Linked DNA regions of Tribolium castaneum. Each later gene encodes a partner of the first gene's protein in a complex. Links are inferred from orthologs where the notes say so. Each region holds a gene or a part of one and is shown in the gene's direction. Other genes may lie near its edges.

The links.
Region 2: the proteins of cnk (region 1) and Dsor1 are in contact, whole or in part, in a cryo-EM structure (PDB 8BW9), measured with the Drosophila melanogaster proteins. The link is inferred for Tribolium castaneum from reciprocal best matches to the Drosophila melanogaster genes cnk and Dsor1. Residues at the interface, in NP_001286524.1 of Drosophila melanogaster: Arg46, Tyr48, Arg72, Tyr76, Thr92, Lys95, Asn96, Arg99, Arg103, His117, Arg121; in NP_511098.1 of Drosophila melanogaster: Arg200, Gln255, His258, Gln262, Tyr319, Val321, Asn322, Glu323, Pro324, Lys347, Gln348, Asp350, Glu351, Arg352, Ala353, Asp354, Lys356.
Region 3: the proteins of cnk (region 1) and ave are in contact, whole or in part, in a crystal structure (PDB 8BW8), measured with the Drosophila melanogaster proteins. The link is inferred for Tribolium castaneum from reciprocal best matches to the Drosophila melanogaster genes cnk and ave. Residues at the interface, in NP_001286524.1 of Drosophila melanogaster: Pro47, Glu51, Leu56, Arg57, Ile58, Gly59, His60, Gln61, Glu62, Leu65, Glu66, Glu69, Lys110, Ile111, Asp112, Thr113, Leu116, His117, Ile119, Thr120, Arg121, Ile123, Lys127, Val130, Glu134, Arg139, Arg145, Cys148, Gly149, Leu152; in NP_725413.1 of Drosophila melanogaster: Tyr24, Gln51, His52, Asp53, Ile54, Arg57, Ala58, Arg61, Ile62, Thr63, Ser66, Arg69, Met70, Glu79, Trp82, Arg83, Val86, Lys87, Arg89, Leu90, Lys91, Asp93, Ile94, Glu96, Ile97, Arg98, Met100, Glu101, Leu103, Asn104.

What each region holds. Positions count from the first base shown.
Region 1 is NC_087398.1:13,500,135-13,503,793, reverse strand, and holds part of cnk (uncharacterized protein cnk), read left to right. Parts: intron 1-271; coding exon 272-486; intron 487-532; coding exon 533-1,337; intron 1,338-3,659.
Region 2 is NC_087403.1:8,130,143-8,134,508, forward strand, and holds the start of Dsor1 (dual specificity mitogen-activated protein kinase kinase dSOR1), read left to right. Parts: upstream 1-1,451; 5' UTR 1,452-1,813; coding exon 1,814-1,914; intron 1,915-1,959; coding exon 1,960-2,590; intron 2,591-4,366. UniProt on the Drosophila melanogaster protein: Required downstream of Raf in the sevenless (sev), torso (tor), and Drosophila EGF receptor homolog (DER) signal transduction pathways.
Region 3 is NC_087399.1:9,899,550-9,901,894, forward strand, and holds ave (protein aveugle), read left to right. Parts: upstream 1-1,179; 5' UTR 1,180-1,228; coding exon 1,229-1,315; intron 1,316-1,370; coding exon 1,371-1,688; 3' UTR 1,689-1,730; downstream 1,731-2,345. Other genes in the region: Sec31 (protein transport protein Sec31A), read left to right, coding at 413-748, 801-1,061; myb/SANT-like DNA-binding domain-containing protein 4, read right to left, coding at 1,760-2,127. UniProt on the Drosophila melanogaster protein: Required for normal photoreceptor differentiation between Ras and Raf for EGFR signaling in the eye and for mitogen-activated protein kinase phosphorylation. Probably acts together with Cnk to promote Raf activation, perhaps by recruiting an activating kinase.

The sequences.
Region 1 (3,659 bases):
TTGATATACTCGTTTCTGAGTTTGTTATAATCGGACACCACAAATTGTTTTAAGTGTAGAGGGTTTTAAATGGAAAATATTTAATAAGTAAACACTGCTAGCAGAATTTAATTTGGAATAGACCTTATCTACGTCAACAGTGGAAGTGACTTCATTCCATGAAAACTCTTTTATTTCAGATAAATATGCGTTTATTTCATGTATACGAACTGTTCGTTTTTTTGTATTTCTTATTATTATTTGTTTGAGAGTTATAATAATTTTTTTTAAGAACGGAGAAGAGTAACAGTCAACGATTTGAACCCTCCCGACACTCAGGGGTATTTGTACCAACGCTTGCGAAGCAAACACAACCAAAACGTCCACTGGGAGAAAAGGTGGTTTGTTTTGTTAGGTAGTTGTCTGTACGGTTTCAAGACAAAAGAAGATCCAAGAGCGGCGTGTCTTATTTTCCTCTCGGGGTTTACGGTGGCTGTGGCGAGCGAGGTAAGAAAACCTTGCAGTTTTATTAATTTCTAACATGATTATTAAGGTGAAATCTCGCTCGAACGCTTTCAAAGTGTACCACACGGGCACAGTATTCTACTTCTCAGCCGAAGATCCTGAAACCCTCCAATCATGGATCGAGACGATCACCGCAGCCACCCTCAACAACGACAGTCTCAAAACAGCCGACGGCTCCCTCTACTCAGAAACGGACGAATCAGACACCGAAAAACCCAAAAAAACCGAACCGGAGAAGAACCCAGAAACTATCAAAAAATTCAACTCTTTGAAGAAGCTCACCAAGAAACACGAAAACGCAGCCGGTGGCAGCACGAGCTTGGACCGGAAACGCTTCTTCAATAAATCAAGCAGTCATTCGAAAAACTCACTTCCGGTGCCCACCGCCCAGTTCCGCTCTTACCGAAAAATCAAAACGACGGAAACTCCAAGCGGAAGTGTTACCACCGGCAATTTTACATCGCATGTGGCGTCGTTTTTTGCACACAGGTCCGAAATACCGCAGTTTCAGCAGTCGGTTCAGAACGTGAGTGTTCCGAATTTGACTGTTGAACACTTGGGTAAGGGTCAGGAAAAGGCTTCGGGAAAATTATCCAAAGTCAAACCGCTGAATTATGTCCATGCCAGTAATCCAAGTTTGTGCAATATTAACGATTTTCACGTCCCGAATTTTCCGAAGAAGACGTTCAAGCAATGTAATGAAAATTTGGCCGGGTTTGTGACGCTGGAGGAGTTGATGATCAAGCAAAGCGAGGAGAAGAAACTGAATCCGTACAATATGGCCGATGATGTTTTCATGAATTTGAATTTGATCAAACCGGATGTTGTCTACGGTAGGTTTTTCTTATTTTTTTGCAAAAACGCCCCAAAACGCATGAAAAAAAACGAAAAACGAAGTAAGTTATTAGTTTTATGATGAAATATAGCGCAAAAACGCTTGAAAAAGTCCAAACGCAACACCATTTTAATTTAATTCAGCGATTTTACGGCTTATTTTTGACGATTTTTCTCGAAAAACGAGTAAAACGCTTGAAAAAAGTGACAATAATTATGTAGTGTTTTTTACACAGTTTACCGAAAGCTCACATAAGACTGTGATCTTAAATGGACAAGCACAAAAGATGTGAAAATTACAGCATTAGACATGGCAAAACTAACACTATTTTCAACCTAATTTGGCGATTATTCAGCTTTTTTACATTTTTTTTCGGAAAAAAATACAAAATTGTGGTAAAATGTATAAAAACAGGAAACATATCGCACATTTGAATTCGCTTAGCGAAATTTCTATGAAAACTCAGTTTTAAACTCAAGAACGTGTGGTGAACGTCTGTAACCTCTCTAAGCACCCTATTGTCAACCAAGTTGACGATTTTCTAGATTATTTTTGACGAAATAACTTGAGATATTTGCATTTATGGCTGAAAAACCTGCTAAAACACTTGAATGAAGCACAAATAATGTACTTAACTGTTTCGTCCTTTTTATTGAAAGTTCTCAGAAAAACTATGTTTTGTCTTAAAAAACGTATGATGTTCTAACATAAGGCAATATTCACCTAATTTAATGGATTTTTTGGATTATTTATGAAGACTTGAAGTAATTCTGTAAAACGTTCTAAAGCACTTGAAAAAATAAAGATAATTTTATTTTATTTTATTTATTTATTTATTTATTTTTATTTATTTATTTATTTATTTTATTTTTTTTAAATTTGTTTATTATTATTTTGTGCAAAATTGCGTGCTACGAGTAAAACGTTTAAAGAAAAAGGAGAAAATAAAGTTACGGTCAAATTTTTGGTTCAGTTATTTTACAGCTTATTTTTGACTATTTTTCTTGAAAAATTTTAGTAAAACACTCGAAAAAGAAAGTGAAAATAATTGTTTAGTATTTTTCACACAATTTTCCGAAATCTCACAAAAGACTGTGATCTTAACTGAACAGCCCCTGAAAATGTGAAAATTATTATTACAGCATTTTTTATTTAATTTTGTGACTTTTCTGCTTATTTTGGATCTATTTTTTTTATTGGATTTCAGGTTAAAAAAACCTTTAAAATGGTCGTGAAAGAAATATAATGTAAATTTTGGTTTAATTTCGTGAATTTTGGTCCGGTTTTGTCTTTACCTCAAAAAAAAATAGCTTAAGATAGCTTAAGCCCTTAAGTAAGGCAAAAGTAACACCTTTTTAAACAAATTTGGCGATTTTCAGCTCTTATTTGCAAAGATTCTCGAATTAGTTGGGTTTCTAACATAAAATTGTGCTAAAATCATGAAAACGGGAAACAACATGCAATATTTACATTTTTTTGGTAAAGTACATACCGGCGCTAGAACTAGTAAAAAGATTTTTTGTCTTTTTTCGAAGCATTTCGAAATAATAAATTGGGTTTTTTGGTTTAAAAACATGCTTAATTTATTAAGACTCTAAAAAACTTAAAAATACAATTTTTAACTTAATTGTATCTGGCTGAAAAAAAAATGCTAAAAAATGCTTTGAAGACAAAAATAATAAAGTAAGTTTTAAAACAATTTTTAGTTTAGTATTTAGAGAAATCATGCAAAAAACGTTTTTATGTCATGAATTATGATTTTCAACAATTTTCAACCTAATTTGGCGATTGTTCAGCTTGTTTTTTACGAAAATTCATCGAAATAATTGCGTTTCTGAATGAAAAACGTATTAAGATGCTCGAAAAAGGCAAATAATGTAACATACATTTGAAATTTGGTTTAGTGATCCCACGAGAAAACTTGCTTACATACTTACAAGGCCAAAAGTTACACACAAGTTGATTAATTTTTGGATTTTTTAAATGTTCCTCGCAATAATTACATTTCTGGTTGAGCAATATGCTAAAAACCTTGAAGAAAAACAAAAAAGGCAGTCATTTTAACTTTGGTTTAGTGTTTTTTTGAACCGGCTTATCACAATCTCGAATTTTTAGCTCAAAGGAGTGCATACAATTTCTCGAAATAGTCGTATGTAGTTGCTTTAAAACTAACTAAAACGTTATAGTTAGATTTTGTAATTTTTTGGCCGTTTTAACGAAACTCCCGAGAAAAATTTTGTTTCTTAAAAACCACAATATTTTCGGCATAATTTGTTGATTTTCGGCTTGTTTTTATGTAATTTTCGCAAATTACGTTTCT
Region 2 (4,366 bases), on another chromosome or scaffold:
AACGAAGTTTCAATTCCAAAATTTTTCTCAATTATTTTTATTTCAAAAAAAGCTTAAAGTAAATAACTAAAATCTAAAATGTGTTTCGAAGATTTATATAATAAGTTGTAATGTATACAAAAGCGCGTAATTTCTTGCGTACACCGGCCGATCACATACTGCAATAAATACTGCATCTCCTAAACGGATAGAAATTTTATTTTGCGAATTATAGTGTAAAATCTTTATATTATAAGCTATTTTTTAAAATAAAAATAGTAGAAAAAGTTGTCCAAGTTACTAAAATTTGGATTTGAAACTTCACTTCTAGTTTTGTACAAAAAATTCAAATTCCAAAAATAATTTCAGCATTAAAAAGAACAGTAAATTTTCTAAACAAAAGCCCAACTTTAAATATCTTGTTGTGCATTAGTTATAAGAATATAAGTCAAAAATAAGTCTCATATAAAAAATCATTATGTATTTAGATTAACAATCATTCTTTCTAGAAAACCAATTATTCCGAATATGACCGAATCTTAGGTTGTAAATTTTTTTTTGGTTGTCTGCTTCAAGTAAAATGCCTCAAATAATAAGAAAGGGTAAAAAAATTTTTAAAAGGTCATATGCATAGAGAATAAAAATAAAATATTTAATTGCAAACGCTGGTTTTTGTGTTTTGAACCACTACTTTTAGTAGACACCTTCTATTTTTTTTAATAATTATTATAATTTTTTAATTTTGAAACTTAAACATAAAAATATAAGCAAAAAAACACACAAGAACAAAAAATAAAGCCTTTTGTGTCAAATTATCAATCACTGCTTTATTATTTCCAATAGAAACGACATCCAAGAAAATAAAATCTTCCTGTCTAAGATTTTTTTGAAAAATGATCCATAGCAAGAGACAGGTGATTATGGTGGCATCAGGTTCTTATAAAAGAGGTTGTACTGTAGTTACCACACATGTACAGGATTAAATATTTTGTAAAGCTGGTACGAAAAATTGTAATTATGCATGACTGACTGTATCTAAACTAAATAAAACACACACTTGAATTGAACCGAATTTTTCTCACTCCTCCATTATCCCAAAATTAATTAATACAATCGAACAGGGCGGACATTTGGCTCAATTCGTGTATCTATGGTATGAATTTTTAATGTTGCGGTTTTGATGACGCTGCATACATTTATTATTCAATTTATAATACTATATCACATAAAATTCCCTTCTTTGGTACCGAATAATTACTTATCAATTATTTATCCTCTCATAAAATCTGTTCTATCACATTTTGAATATATAATTTCAGCCGGCGTTCTAGTGCCACCTTGTACCAAAAGCACCAACGATATATTAGGCACTAAAGGGTGTTGCAACTAGGAATGCGCAGTGTGGTATCGCAAACACAGGTGGCGCTATACAAGTTACGTAACAACAAAAACTGTTTTATTATTATTTTATTTATTGCAACTATTTTGCTAAGTTTATAAATAAAAATTTGTAGCAATAACAATAATAACATTGAATTATAAGAACGGTGCGAGCGCCACCCGTGTCACTCCAGCGAACTACATAATTGACTGATGTCAGATGTTTTCTTTACTTGTGTTTTTTTCTTTATTTACGTAAAAACAATAAGTGTAACATAAAAACAGTCAAAACACAACCACTGGTTACAATGTTCGCGGTTGCAGTCTCTTCGCTAAACCAAAAATAATTCTAAAAAGTTGGTAGATAATGTTGATATTTTGAGGCTTTTTATCTATGGGTGTCAACGTCCCTTCCGTTAATTAATCAGTGATACAAGTGTAATATTTGGGAGAGATGTCGAAGAACAAGCTAAACCTGACCCTCCCCCCGGGTTCGCTGGACCAAACCCCCACGGTGACCCCCACAAGTGCGCCGTTTCCGGACGCCGCAGCCCCGTAAGTGTCTTTTCCGTGCGTTTCGAAACTGGAGGGCAGTTTCAGGTCGAACAACGTCGGGGGCTCCAGCATCGACAACCTAACGGCCCGGATCGAGGGCTTGGAGATGGACGCCACGCAGAGGAGGCGCATTGAGGTGTTCCTGTGCCAGAAGGAGAAAATCGGGGGTGATTTGAGCGACGACGATTTGGAAAAACTGGGCGAGTTGGGGTCGGGGAACGGCGGCGTCGTTATTAAAGTCCGCCATAAATCCGGGCTCATCATGGCCCGGAAATTAATCCACTTGGAGGTGAAACAGGCGATCAAACTCCAGATAATTCGCGAATTGAAAGTCTTGCACGAGTGCAATTTCGCGCACATTGTGGGCTTCTACGGCGCGTTTTACAGCGATGGGGAGATCAGCATCTGTATGGAGTATATGGACGCTGGGTCTTTAGACTTAATTCTTAAAAAAGCCGGACGGATTCCCGAAAATATACTCGGGAAGATTACCGTTGCGGTTTTGAAGGGGCTGAGCTACTTGAGGGATAAACACGCGATTATGCACCGCGATGTTAAGCCCAGTAATATACTCATTAATAGTAGCGGCGAGATCAAGATTTGTGATTTTGGGGTCTCGGGACAACTTATAGACTCGATGGCGAACTCTTTCGTCGGAACGAGAAGCTACATGTCGGTAAGATATCACAAAGTGTTACAAACAAGAAAAAAGCTGTCACCAGAATAAATACTTGTCAATCTACCACCAAAATCTTATAAAACTCTTATGAAAGCTTTATTAAATTTTAATTCGTTGTTGAACGTTAACAACGCAAATACACCAATGAAATTGGTTTAATTTGGTCACGTGATCAGTTAATCACGCATTTAATTGCAGATTATCTTAATGACGCTTCTATAAACGGGTCCTTAGTTATTAAAGATGAAAAGATGTGTTAAAGTTTTTGAAAATCGACATAGTTTTGCACTAAAAAATAAAATTACATAATTGTTTTATCTCAAATTAACGTAAAACATATCGAATGTTATATTTTGTCACCCAATTAAATGAATAATTAATTATCGTAATTTATGTCGGATCAGATAAACTTTTATATTCGGAGAATAACTAGCTTTACTTAATTTCCAGACTGTAAGAATTTGTATTACTTAGGAGTAATGCACTTTTTTTAGAAAGAATACGTTTCTTACTCACTTGTTATATATATACTAAACAGAATATTATATTATTGAGATTATAAGTAAAACTTTATGGGCTAAGGTTAAGGCTGGTTAAGGCTGAGCCGTGCAATATATGCAATTTTTTCTCCAAATGTTATATAATATAATTAATGCATTTTGTCTCATAAAATTAATGGATCATTTAAGAAAATAATACAATATGTAATAATCTAAATTTCTTGTTTGGATGCCAATTCACCAAATCAAAAAAATAAATAAATAATTGCGAAATGTCTGAATGATATCTGCCGGCAAATTACGCATTGTTTGGTGAAATAGTAGTGTTTTAAGTTATTCAGAATGCGACGAATTGTACTTTTAATGTTAATTAGTAAATATTGTTATTATTAGGCTAAATTGAGTAAAATAAGCTTGCTTTTTTACAGGTTTTAAATAGTAATCATAAACAGCTAAATGAAATACGTCAAAATATCAAAATAACTCACTTTAAAGAATATGTTAGAATAAATTGAATTTTTTTTAAGTAACGTCAACTTTCGTTAAAAAATTAATTTTGTCAAATTTAGAACTAAATTAGTCTGCCAAAAGTATTGTTTTTACTTCATCTCAAAAACTAATGATCACAGAGAATTCTGAGTTTGCTATTAAATAGTTAATGGTTATTTCTATCTATAAATTTTTTTACAAGACTTAATATTAAGCCGTTGAAAAAAATAGTTTTTATACCTTAATGCAAACGGTGCTTAAATATTGTTTTGTGCAAAAATACGTAGAAAATTCACGTTATTTTGGAGCTTAACAACATTTTATTGTGAATGATATGGAATCTGAAGAACTTTGCACGCTTAGAGAAAAAATAAGGAATTAAAGCAAACGCTGATTATTATTAGTTCTTGAAATATAGGAAAAAAATTTTTCAGCAGATTCATCTTGCAAATTATCATTTACAAAATGATGATATCTGACGTTCAACGAAAAAAAAAAACATTTTTTAAATAAGTTAAACAATTTTTTAACGTAAGAACATTGTTTTTAAATAAATTTTTTGTTATAATTATTTCATGTAATATCACTGCCAGTAAGGTAACAAAACTAATGTAAACTAGGTAAGTAAAATACATGCTAAATAATTAATAACAAAAGATACGTAATAATGCTAAACATTACATTACATTACATCAACAATACTTGTTGATAAATAAGACCTTTTTGAACCTATTTTATGATGTTTTCTGTACATAAATTTTTATTTATTTAATGATTTTTTTAA
Region 3 (2,345 bases), on another chromosome or scaffold:
TGCAAAAACACTTCTATTGCAAAGGATATTGTTTACTTAAAATTCATACTTTTTGGTTTTGGTTTCGTAGAAGCCTCAGTTTAAATTAAAGTAGCAACTTAAAGAGACTTTAGCAATAAAAATGAGCATTAAAGGAGCAAAATCCGGAATAAAAATCTTACTTGGAAAAGCGGTAACTGAAAACTTGAGTCGATTTGTCAGGTTTTTGTCAAAATATGTATGCTTCTAAGCAACTGTACCAATTTTATAATATTTGCTCAAGTCATTTCAAAATGATTGTGCAAAAACCCCTAATCAGTAGAAAGTAATATTTCGTTTTTTTTGAGGTTCAAATTTTGATGCATAAATACTACTAACCTTGTAGATCACGGAAGTGTCATACAACAAATAACCATAAATTGTGATTTTTCAGCCCAAACCAGAGGCATCCGTCCCATCTCAACCCATAACGCACCCATTGTATGGGTCGGCGCCCACCAACAACGGTTACGGAACCGAACCACAAATGTTCCAACCACAGCCAACTAATAATTTTGCCCCACCTAACAATTTCACACCGCCTACTACGTTCAATCCGACTGGTTTTAAGTCAAATGCGGTCAATTTTAACCAGGTCCAAAACCAAACTCCTGTGGTTCCAGAGAAACCACAACCAATTCAAAAACCACCAATTCCCGAAGAACACATACACATGCAAACCGTTTTTGACGAGTTGAAATATCAGTGCAGTTGTGCGGCTAATAATCCGGTATTTTATTTAACACAACAATTTGAAGTTGTTTTAATCGCATTTTTTATAGCAAACCAAGCGAAAATTGGAGGATGTTGGCCGAAAGTTAGAGTCGTTGTATGATTTGTTAAGGGAACAGAAACTGTCACCCAACACTTTAGGAGCGTTACATCAAATGGTACAGTTGGTGCAAAACGGAGATTATACAGGAGGACTGAATTTACACACTCAGCTAGTGTCAGGGCCTGATTTCGCTCAAATTGCCAGTTTTATGCCCGGGCTTAAAGTTTTGTTACAGTGCGCTTTACAATTGCAAGTTTATTTAAGATAAGGTCTAACCATGTATTATTTTGTTTTAGATGTTTATTTTTTTCTATTGATAGTTGGATATAATCAAATATATAAGCTGGCGCTTTTTTAAATAAAATATAACAAATGCAAGTTGGTGTTTTATTTCAAAGTGGCGCTCTGTTTTAAATAAATTGGAGTTTTTGCTTGATGGGTTGGTATTGCGGTTGGTCACAACCTGTCAGTTTGACAAGCAAGATGGTGGAAGAAACTTTAAATAATATAAACAAACCAAAGGTAGGAATTAACCAATTAACACAGCCATTCGCCGGTTTTAAACAATTAATTGCAGCTCAAAGCGGTTAATTACAATAAACCCAAGTCGGTGTATTCGTGGACGGTGGTAGACGTACAAAAGTGGCTCCGGAGGCACTGCACCGACTACTATGCCCTTTATGTCGATAAATTCATCCAAAATGATGTAACAGGACGCACATTATTGCGAATAAATGATAATTCTTTGCTCCGACTGGGGATAACGGATGTGGACCACCGTGAGGCAATTTGGCGCGAAATTTTAAAACTCCGGTTAAAAACCGACATAATGGAAATTCGGGACTTGCAGCGGCGCAACACAAACAATATGTTTTATGAATACTCAATAGCTTGACTTTATTGTAATTCTATACAAATAAATTAAATAAATAATTAACGGAATGTTATTGGAATGAAACGAACAAATTATTTACTGCTGCTGTTGCTGTTGTCATCATTGTGAATCCCACTGTCGTCGTTCTCATCCTCACTCACAATGTACTTCTTCAGCCCCTCACTCAGCAGAGTCTTCAAAATTTTACTATCCTTCAAAAGGTCAATATCACAACTACTTTGCCTCTTTCGGCTGTTATTTTTCTCGTTTTCTGTCATATCTTCGGTCGGAAATGCAAATCGATGGAACAAATTTCCAATAAATGGGCCCATTGCCAGTAATTGGGAACCAACAAAGCGCTCAAATTCGAGCCTCTGTTTTTCCAGTTCCAGGCGTTGGCGCTCGATGTCCAGATTCTCCTTTTGGACCTCGAGAAGCTCCTTCAGGACTTGATTAACGTCTGGAATTAAGGTTGGTAAGCTTGTTTTTTGTCAAGTTTGTACTTTTTAATTTTATCACAAAATGTCAATTGAAAAATAAATTTATTTCGAATGAACCCTCGTTTTCTCTTCTAATAAATTAGTTTAAACATATTAGCGATTATAGAATTTGTACAAATTATTAAAAACTTCATGATAAAAAAAATCAAGGCCCAGTTTCTGGAAACATACAGGATGT